3 linked regions of the Arabidopsis thaliana genome follow. The protein of the gene in region 3 interacts with the protein of the main gene of each other region in a biochemical or structural test. Each region holds a gene or a part of one and is shown on either strand. Other genes may lie near its edges.

Region 1 (3,760 bases), on a different chromosome or scaffold from region 3:
CCGAATGACCACGTTTTATCAGATTAGCATCATTGAATTCCTCTGTTGCCTGAAGAAGCTGCTCATAAGAAAATGCATTTCCAAGACGTGACAAATCAAAGGTTTGTGCTCCTTTAGGTGGTTGTTGTGAAGCTTCCCCGGCAGGTTTTGGCCTGTCGTTATTTCCTCTTTGTGCCGCTCTGCGTCTATGGCGCATGCATAGAACCAGAATAATTGGCAAGATAACAAAAAGAAGAATAAAAGCAACTCCACCACCCACTGCTGCCAATATAATTACTGTTCTGCGGCTTATCCCTGAAGAAGCATTTTTCGATGTCGGTTGTGTCAAATTAGGACGTCCGAAATCATCAAAATCTAATCCTCTAGACTTATAGAATGCTGCACATATTGCTGACGGCTTCTGTCTCCTCTCATTTCGAAGGCAATTGCTTGTAACAGACACATTTTCCCCGGTCACATAATCAGGAAGCTTACCTTCGAAATAATTACCAGAGAGGTCCATTATCCTGAACCGTCTAAGAATCGGTGTGAGCTCTCCATAGAATGTGTTCGAAGAGATATCAACCATTTCAGCTATCTGGTCTGAATCATAACTAGAATATGGCAGCAGTCCTGTGAAGTTGTTCTTAGCAATGTCAAGAATCCGCAATTTTGGCAACGACCAGCACACATCAGGTAGACTACCAGAGAAACCATTTTCCCTCAAAACTAAAGTTTGCAGTTGGCTCTCAGCACTAAACAAATCTACTGGTAAAGTACCACTCAAAAGGTTATCGCCAATCGCCATTAGCTGCAACTTACTTAACTTTCTTAGCTCCTGAGGAACTGAACCAGACAATGAATTGATGCTGAGATCAAAGTCAACCAGATTGACAAGATCACCAAGCTCTGAAGGAATCGGAGACGAGAAACTATTGCTTGAAAAGTTCAGATGGATAAGCTTTGATAACGCTCCTAAACCAGGAGGGATAGGTCCAGTAAGGTAATTGGAAGAAACATCAAGAGTCAACAGATTCTTCAGAGAGCTAAAAGATTGAGGAAGAACACCAGTGAATGAGTTCCTAGAGAGATCAAGCTGTGATAGATTCAACAACTGTCCTAAACTGCTAGGAACTAAACTAGTAAGACTGTTCTGAGACAGATTCAAAGTTCTTAAACTAGTGAGATTACCAAGAGTAAAAGGAACAACACCGTTAACAGAACACGAACTAAGATCCAATACTTCCAATGCCAACAAACTAACACCAAACCACTCAGGTATAGTCCCCGGTAACGCTAACCCGGACGCGTTAAAATACGACAAACGAGTTAGATTACGAAGAGGATCAACAGAGAATTGTGGGTTTAGCTTACCAATTCTTGTTCTCCTAAACCCAGAGATATTGATCCCAATGATACTACCATTCTCACATTGTATACCTCTCCAATCAACACAAGGGTCACCTTTAATTGGCCAATCTGTTCCTCTTAACCCTAAAGAAGACCTGAGATTAAGCAAAATGAGTTTCTCACTGAATCGACTCTGTGTTTGACCAACAACAACACAGTCGAAGAACAGTACCAAACACAACAACAACAAGACAAAACCCAATGCGCTTCTTCTTTGATCAACCATTGCTTATCAAACTCAATCCAATGACCCATCAACACTCATCACCCAAACCCAGAGAGAGACAGAGACTATTTTTTTCAGGATTTAAGCAAAATACCCAATTCAACAACCCTAATAAAAATAACGTCTTTCGATCTTTAGAGAGGAAGAAAGAGACAGATATCGAACTGGGTTTGCTCTGTTACTGGATCCAATTACAGCTCCTACCTTCACAGACATTAAAGCACCTCTCTTTCTCTTTCTCTCTCTCTCTCTAAATCCTAATTTATGAGAAGAAAAAGTAGAAATTTTTCACTAATCCTTAAAATCAGACAAAACAAAAAGTGATTTGTTGAGTGAAAAAAATCTTTAGAGAGAGAAAGAAAGAAGAAGAAGAAGAAGATCGAGATTGTTGAGATAACAACTGTAGACTGTGACACTCCTCTCTCTCTCGTCTTTGCAAGAAACTTCGAAATTAATTTATTATTAATTACAAATCTGATTAATTAATAATTTTGAAATTAGATTAAATTAAAACCTAGTGTGGGGTAAAGTGACGTCGTTTTAATGTTTGGTTTGACTTTCCCGGTAATCCCGCCATAAGCCAGCTAAGCTGTTGCCGCAATTACTATTTGGGATTTTTTCTTTCCTTCTTTCCTGTTTTATTATTGTTGTAAATTTAATGTTCGGATATATAAGGAGTAATATATCTCACGTCCTATATTCACCATTCTTGGCCGAATAAAGGAATCTTTTTCTTTTCTTGCTAAAATTTTCTAAATACTCTGAATTTTTTGGTTCGAATGGTAACGGCAATCAGAATAGATAAATTCATCGATAATATAAGTGTGTTTTATTTTCAAGTAGATAATAAATCGTTGTGGATCAATCTTATTTGTATGTAAAAATGGTTTATGATTGGTTTACGGCAGTTTTCTTAGTATATATTATTATAGATTCTAATTTATGATTGGTAAATTAAAAGCGGTTTAATCTGCATAGTATTTGTCCGTCTCAACCGCTGTAATCATTTGCATTTTAAACAATTTATTACAACATATAATCATATACAGTACAATAGAAAATTATCAACTAGAAAAACATGTGAAATGTTGGCAACTTTCTTTCAAAATATTGGATGAAATATTTATCGGTTATAGGATTTTGTAAAGATGTTGAAGTATTCTTTTTAAAAAACAATGATATTGAATTTTCTAGCTTTTTTGATATGATCCAAAAATTTGATATATGTTTAGTTTAAAATTGATAGAAACAAATTCTCTATTGTAGAATGTTCAATTTAAACAATGCCAATCGAATGAAAATATTTAGTTTTTTTATTTAATTTTACTTGAAAAATGAATGATTATGTTAGTTCAAAGTCTCACTATGGTTTATTTAGAAAATAGTGATTAAGTAGACATTAATAGAGATGAATTTTTCTTGAGCTAAAAATTTCTCAAAAGTTTTCTCAAAATATATGAACAAGTGATGTGAAATTTTCTTAAACTGTTTATTAATTTTCATATGCTACAGTTGCGTATATGATTTTATTAATCGTTCCAATTACTGTTATTTCCATAGAAAAGTTTTCTCTAACCTCGAGCTAGTTAAGTCATAATTGAGGATATTTGTTCGGGAAGAAAAAGCAATGAACTATTCATCTTTCGTCGGATAACAAATTTACATCACTACCTAATTTTTGTTACATATCCCGCATCGCTATTAAATAAATCCAACGTGTCCGAAAGTACAAATGTTGTTTGTATCTGTGTTTTCCAGTTCAAGATCATATAACTAACACATGTCCTCTTCGTGAGACCCCACACATACAAAATAAGCCGTCAAATCTAAACCATCGGATCAGAGCAAGATTATTTCGATTCTGGTGACGTGGCACAAATCATGCGTCCAAGAGAGTGTTTTGGTCACAGTTCTAATCATATTTCTGAATGCATGTTAAGCACCGAATCAACGTAACCATGGTTTCGCGCTTCTATATAGAACCGTCGTCGTCATCATCTTCCTCAAATCTTTGGACGTGGCTTATGCAGACAACGAGTATCGATGCTTCGTCGGAGGTTTAGCTTGGGCCACCGATGAACAGTCTATAGAGAGGTGTTTCAACGAGTTTGGTGAAGTTTTCGACTCCAAGGTCCGTTAAAGTGT
Region 2 (3,760 bases), 5.9 Mb from region 3:
CTTTTGTAGACTTTAGTGGTGAATTTAATTATTTTGTAAGGTGCGATGACTTTCTTGACAGTGGAAATTTTTTCACGTTTTCACAAACATGCATGATTGTTTATTTTCAGTTCGATGATTAGTGACCTGTATTTTAAGTGACAGTGAACAGGAATCTCGTTTTTCACCACAGTTAATTGGGATGCGATTCTTGTTATCTAAGTTAGAATCGTGGATGCGATGATGAAGTTTGTATTTTCTATTGATATTGTTTTACCCAAACCCAAGAGTCGAGAATGAATTTTTATGTCGTTGCTATTTATTCTGAACTTATGTCGTAAATGTTGGGATCAATAATTTAAGGTGACCGAGTCGTGACCCACATGAGTGTCGAGTGATTATTACAGCTTCGGTGAAAACGAGTGAAAAGTGAAAACGCAAACATTATTTTTAGGATCTTCTCTTTTGCTCACGAAGAATTGTAGTACTATTAGATAATCTCATAATCCTGAATGAGTGTTTTTAGTGGGATCACAATCCGAAATGACTATTTAAGCGTTAAGATTCAAAACAACTTCACATATATATAACCTTCAATGACTTCAATTTAATATATAGTTTGAAATTTAGTGTGAAAATCAAAATAATCGAACCTCGTTAATATTTTTAGTTTCATTCATGTTAAGTAATTCAAGCCAATTTTCCTTTTATAGTTTCTCTGCATGCAAATTTATATTTAAAGTGCGTGCATGTTGCATCACTTCAGTAATATGGTAGAATGCAAATTCGTTAACCGTCTCTATAGTTCATGACTTCATGATAGCATAAGAGATAAAATGAATTCAGGGATTTATGTGTAATCATTAAGGAATGAGAAAGTCACATAAAGCATGTAAAATAATTTTTGGGTCGTTATTTTTTTTTACTACGATGAATCTCTGCTCTCTTTTATATATTTTAGTCATGACTGAATAATGACAGGCAATTTTAATAATTTAAGATAAGTATGCGGTATGCCATGATCGGTAGACGGTAGCTCAATACAATTCCGACACAGAAACTAGTTTTTTTTTGGGTATTTGATAATGGGCCTTTTAGCAATTTTCTAAAGCCCAAATTTATTATTCTTGCTTCACGCAATATTGTTTAAAGCCCAATTTAGAGAACATGATTTCCATTCCGAATTCGTCGCCCAGTCACTTATTAGATTAATAGATTGCATTGCATTGCTTGTGCTTTCAATTTACAAATTGTCTCCCAACTCCATCGACACATCTCTTTTTGTGTATATAAGATTCAGACTTGTTATATTTTTTTTATAAATATGTTATTAGCATCTTAAGTTAAATTGATTTTTTATATCTGCATTAAGGATTACACGACTATATTTGCGATTGTGTGTTGGTTAAAATATAATTTAGGATTGTCTTTAACTACATTTAGGATTATATGACTATATTTGGTTAAATATAAAATCTAGCTGTGATTATTAGTATTCAAAAATAAGTAGCCTAACCAATTAAAACAACGGCTATTGGGGCAAATTAGAACATTTTAGTGTGTCCAAAATATAATGGTCATTAGGTCATATTCCTCCTAGCTTCATCGCAGCATAATTGAATGATTGCCTTATTTAGAAGAGCTTTTCCACTTTCCCAAAATCTATGTGGGATCTTTTTGTTTTGACCTTCATTTTTCTTGTTTACCATTTTTAGCTAAATTATTTACGATTACAAAAGATATCAAAAGTTGGATCATAATACAATTTATAGACTTACTGTAGAAAATTCGTATGTACAAGTACAACAAATTCTTCATAATAAATTTTGAAAATTCTATTACAAATGTTGTAAGAAATAGAATTTGAAATATATATAAACTAAGGAGAAAAAAAAAGAGAACATGCATTGCTCTAGTCAGAGTGGACCAACATCAACGAGATAAGATAACATAAAAACCAACTCACCATAACTAAAAACATCCCAAGAGATCCAACGATTCATATCAAACACAAAAACATCGAACGATCAGATTTAAACCATCTCTGGTATCTCCAAAACACAAACACTTTTTTTTTTCTTTTGTCTGAATGGAACAAAAGCATGCGACATCTCTGTGTCTTTATCTTCTCTCTCCTCTTCTTGAAAAACTGAACCTTTAATTCTTTCTTCACATCTCCTTTAGCTTTCTGAAGCTGCTATCTTCAAGCTCAAAACCAAACCCTAGAAATAAAATGACGGCGACACAAATGCTGCTTCATCTTCTTCTTCTTCCACTTCTCTTCCTTCACTTCAGCAACCAAGTCATGGCAGAAATCACCGACGAGTTAGCGACATTGATGGAGGTTAAAACAGAGCTTGACCCAGAAGACAAACACTTAGCTTCATGGAGTGTTAATGGAGATCTGTGTAAAGACTTTGAAGGTGTTGGTTGTGACTGGAAAGGACGAGTTTCTAACATATCTCTACAAGGGAAAGGCTTATCTGGTAAAATCTCTCCGAACATTGGAAAGCTTAAACATTTGACGGGTTTGTTCTTGCACTACAATGCTCTTGTTGGAGATATTCCTAGAGAACTTGGTAACTTGTCGGAACTTACGGATCTTTATCTCAATGTTAATAATCTCTCCGGTGAGATTCCTTCAAACATTGGGAAGATGCAAGGCTTGCAAGGTTAGTTCTTTTTTACTTTAATTTTAATCTTAATCATTGATTAAACTTAAAACCTAAATTTAGCATTGTTAGATCTTTGGTTTCTGCAAAATTCTTGTCCCAAGATTAATCAATGTTCTGTGGAGATTTGAAACCTAGAAATCTGAGCTCCTTGTCTTAGGGGTTTTAGTTACTTCATTACTATCTCTGGTAGTTGAAATTATTTGAATTAGATGATTTTGGAATTTAATGCTTTAATGATCTGTCTTTAAAACGTCCTTTTCATGTCTTTTTGTTAGGATTTTTCTTTTTGTAATTTTCCTGTAAGGAAGAATAGTCAAGAACTTTTTAAGATTCAAACTTTTAATTGGAACCATAAATGGCTTACTGGTCCCAAAATATGGACTTGAATTGAAGATAACTTGTACTTCTCTTGATTAATTTTGTTTATTTAGATAATTGATTCACTTACTTTCAAAAGGCTTTATATTTGAGCTTTAATTAGCAGGACCAGGTTTCTAAATCTAGAATTAGTTCTAAGTTAATGTAAGTCAAAGCTAAGCTTCATTCCTTTTTTGGTCTATGTTGTTGTGTAGTTTTGCAGCTCTGTTACAACAATTTGACTGGAAGCATTCCTAGGGAGCTTAGTTCACTGAGGAAGCTGAGTGTTCTTGCTCTTCAATCTAACAAACTCACTGGAGCTATACCTGCGAGTTTAGGAGATTTAAGTGCTCTAGAGCGGCTAGATTTGAGCTACAATCATTTGTTTGGTTCTGTACCAGGCAAGTTAGCTAGCCCTCCTCTGCTTCGAGTTCTCGACATCCGCAACAACTCCCTCACTGGCAATGTACCTCCTGGTTAGAAAACTGATTCACTATATGATCTTTGAAACTAACTTTGCGTATTTTGTGAAGTGTTTCTCATTTTGGTTTATATTTCTTTCTCTGTTGTACCGATTTGACAGTACTGAAGAGATTAAATGAAGGTTTTTCGTTTGAAAACAACTTGGGACTATGTGGAGCTGAGTTCTCGCCGTTGAAATCTTGCAATGGCACAGCTCCTGAGGAACCTAAGCCATACGGTGCAACCGTGTTTGGTTTTCCATCCCGGGATATACCAGAATCAGCTAA
Region 3 (3,760 bases):
GTCTTTTGAAAAGCTCATTAAGTAATTAAATAATCATATGACCCATTTCACTTAATCATTCTAATCATATGTCGTTGTTAAAAGCCACTAGATAGTAGCTTACTACCAGAAATGGCTTCGACATGTTCACTTCAAAGAATCAAACAATCTAAATATTATTGGCATAATCAAATACTCTAGGAACTATAACAATTTTCTTGACCGTTATTTTCTCGAATAAAATCATCATATATTTGTGGAGGAAAAGAAAGAATGTATAAAGTCATAACAGATATCATATAATATATCCAAAAACACCCGACCGATCAAGTGACAATGCGCAGTGTTGTATTATTATATTATCACTGTTTGAAAAATTGTCGAACTCAGGATTGGTTTATAACTTTGCAAGACGATAATAACTTTGGAGTTTTGCATAATGGTAAGTAGAAAACGCCATTTTTCATGCATCTCCCGTCTTTGTCCACCGCCAAACTAGTAGCCATCCTCTAATTAATAATGTATTACTACAGCTTTGTATATATTCGTATTGGAGTTTACAGACTAATCACATAGTGGTTACGTTTAGGAAGATAAAACATACAGAAATGGTAAATAGCTTGTGAACCTGAATCTCGAAACTTACCTTGTCCAATTTGTAACATGAATGTCGACTATAAGTAAATTTGCTCTGACAATTTACAGTCAAACTCAACTATGAGTCTATAATATCACTGTAGTGGGTATTGTTCACACACAACGATTAATACTGTAATTAATGCTGAAACTTGGACTACACGACACTCATATGTTTTATTGTTTCACACACAGCAGAAGAAATAATTGGATTTTTTTTCGGTCCAGTGATTGCACTGGTTTGCAGAAAAATTCTTAAACGATAAATAAACCATGTTCATCTCATGATTACTTAATCGTTTGAGAAACCGTGACATATGGTGGTAACAAACAAAAACAAACAAATACCAACCGGTAAAACATATATACAGTATTTTATACATAAACAATTTTGTGATTTTGGCAATCAAATAACAAGGACCACAATGACGCTCGCGAAATTTAATTAAAACGGGGACCAATTTTAATCAATTTGACCCGGTGTACATTAATCTTGACATGCATTTATTTACGTGTGATGTTGACCTCTTGGTAGATACAGTACTACATTTATATATTTTTGATGCAACACATAACTGTTTAGTGTTTTTGATATTTCCTTTTTTTATCAGTCTAACTCTCGTGAGTCGTGAGTCGTGAGTTGTGAGTCGTGATCCATTGGGATTATTACTACGTAGTACATGTTAAACTACATATATAAGGATTCCATAAATATGAATCAAATCGAATTCTTCTTATATAACTAAGACATTAAATGTCTACTTGCACTTCATTAAAAAGAATCTTCTGATTTTATTTTTGGTATATGCAAAATTATAACTGCATTTAAAACAGAGATTAGATCATGAAACGAATATTATTTCTGAAAAAGTAGGTATATCTAGTAATGTTAATTTATTTTTTGCTAAGGATATCTAGTAATATTTTATATGAAACACTTGTTTTTATTTATGTGTTTTGCGCATAAAGTCAATATTATAACGAATCACTAGATTAGTTTTATTTTTATCTTATAGATTAGTTTAATAAGCCTATATCTATAAGATGTACTATGATCAGAGAAACATTAGGTGTAATGAGAAAACAATAATAAAACGGTCATATATAAGTAAATCCAAGTCAGTGAGAGACCTGCAAAAATTTCGAACTTTTTGTGAATGTCTTATAGCAAAGATACTATTCTCCCATCTGATCATGTTTCCATAGATATTAGTTAATTGGCTAATAATACAATTCTTCACACACATCACATGATCGATATGCGTAATCTCACGTCACAATTTCCGTCATAATCAAAAGGAGTAACAGAATTAGTATATTATATAGTTTCTGTGATCTAGCAAAGATTTAAATGTAAACAAAACTATCCAGATTTATATGGTTTTGTTACGTTTCTTTGAAGATCAATGTAAACAATGATGAACCAATATTAGGGTCCACGTTGAATATAAACGTGAAAAACGACAAAGCGACGTCAGCATAATTTACGAATAGGAAAACAGTGTTAACTTTTGTTATCACATTCCGTGCAATTTACATAGGATATAGAATTTTTTATTTACAAAAGTTATATTTATAAAGAATTACTCAAATCAAGAATTCCATAAAAAGATAAACACTTTCATATATCGTTCACAATCACATGGCCTTTTCAAAAAATCAATCTTTTAGTTCTCTATCGATGCGTAGGCTTGAAGCATGATGACGACAGTCGCCGCCGATCTCCACCGTTATCTTTTCCTGATTACCGTTTTTCTTTTCTTCCTCTGCGACAAAACCTCTCTTGCTCTGACCACAGACGGTGTTCTTCTTCTCTCTTTCCGTTACTCAATCGTTGACGATCCTCTTTACGTTTTTCGGAGCTGGAGATTCGACGACGAGACTCCTTGCTCTTGGCGTGGTGTCACGTGCGATGCATCTTCCCGGCACGTGACTGTTCTGTCACTTCCAAGCTCGAACCTTACCGGCACACTACCTTCAAATTTGGGTTCACTCAATTCACTTCAAAGACTTGATCTTTCCAACAATTCCATCAATGGGTCTTTCCCGGTTTCGCTTCTCAACGCGACGGAGCTTCGATTTCTTGATCTGTCCGATAATCACATCTCCGGTGCACTACCGGCGAGTTTTGGCGCGCTTTCGAACCTCCAAGTGTTGAATCTCTCCGATAATTCCTTCGTCGGCGAATTACCGAACACATTAGGATGGAACCGGAACTTAACGGAGATTTCACTTCAGAAAAACTATTTATCCGGCGGGATTCCGGGAGGTTTTAAGTCGACGGAGTATCTTGATCTCTCGTCAAATTTGATCAAAGGCTCGTTGCCGTCACATTTCAGAGGGAATCGTCTACGCTATTTCAACGCTTCGTACAACAGAATCTCCGGCGAGATTCCGTCAGGTTTCGCCGACGAAATCCCGGAAGACGCCACCGTTGATCTCTCATTCAACCAACTTACAGGTCAAATCCCGGGTTTTCGGGTTCTCGATAACCAAGAATCCAACTCTTTCTCCGGTAACCCGGGTCTCTGCGGATCCGACCATGCAAAACACCCTTGTCGTGACGGTGAAGCAACCTCTCCACCTCCATCGCCGACTCCAAATTCTCCTCCTGCATTAGCTGCTATACCAAATACTATTGGCTTAACCAATCACCCAATTAGCTCCAAAACCGGTCCGAAATCAAAATGGGATCATAAACCGGTGCTTATCATTGGCATTGTTGTCGGTGACTTAGCCGGTTTAGCAATCCTCGGGATTGTGTTTTTCTACATTTACCAGTCGAGAAAACGGAAGACCGTAACGGCTACGTCAAAATGGTCCACGTCATCAACAGATTCCAAGGTCTCAAAATGGTACTGTTTACGCAAATCCGTTTACGTTGACGGTGACTGCGAAGAAGAAGAAGAGGAATCTGAGACATCGGAATCCGAATCCGACGAAGAGAACCCGGTCGGACCAAATCGACGGTCAGGATTAGACGATCAAGAAAAAAAGGGAACGTTAGTGAATCTCGATTCAGAGAAAGAGCTTGAAATCGAAACGCTTCTCAAAGCATCAGCTTATATTTTGGGAGCCACCGGTTCGAGCATAATGTATAAAGCGGTGCTTCAAGACGGAACAGCTGTGGCGGTTCGACGAATAG

The links.
Region 1: the proteins of RLK (region 3) and AT2G16250 form a complex in vitro, tested with the Arabidopsis thaliana proteins (one large-scale study listed by BioGRID).
Region 2: the proteins of RLK (region 3) and AT5G51560 form a complex in vitro, tested with the Arabidopsis thaliana proteins (one large-scale study listed by BioGRID).

The regions. Positions count from the first base shown.
Region 1 is NC_003071.7:7,041,319-7,045,078, forward strand, and holds the start of AT2G16250 (Leucine-rich repeat protein kinase family protein), read right to left. Parts: upstream 2,037-3,760; 5' UTR 1,616-2,036; coding exon 1-1,615.
Region 2 is NC_003076.8:20,943,595-20,947,354, forward strand, and holds the start of AT5G51560 (Leucine-rich repeat protein kinase family protein), read left to right. Parts: upstream 1-2,081; 5' UTR 2,082-2,212; coding exon 2,213-2,651; intron 2,652-3,226; coding exon 3,227-3,487; intron 3,488-3,594; coding exon 3,595-3,760.
Region 3 is NC_003076.8:26,843,680-26,847,439, reverse strand, and holds the start of RLK (receptor-like kinase), read left to right. Parts: upstream 1-2,145; 5' UTR 2,146-2,313; coding exon 2,314-3,760.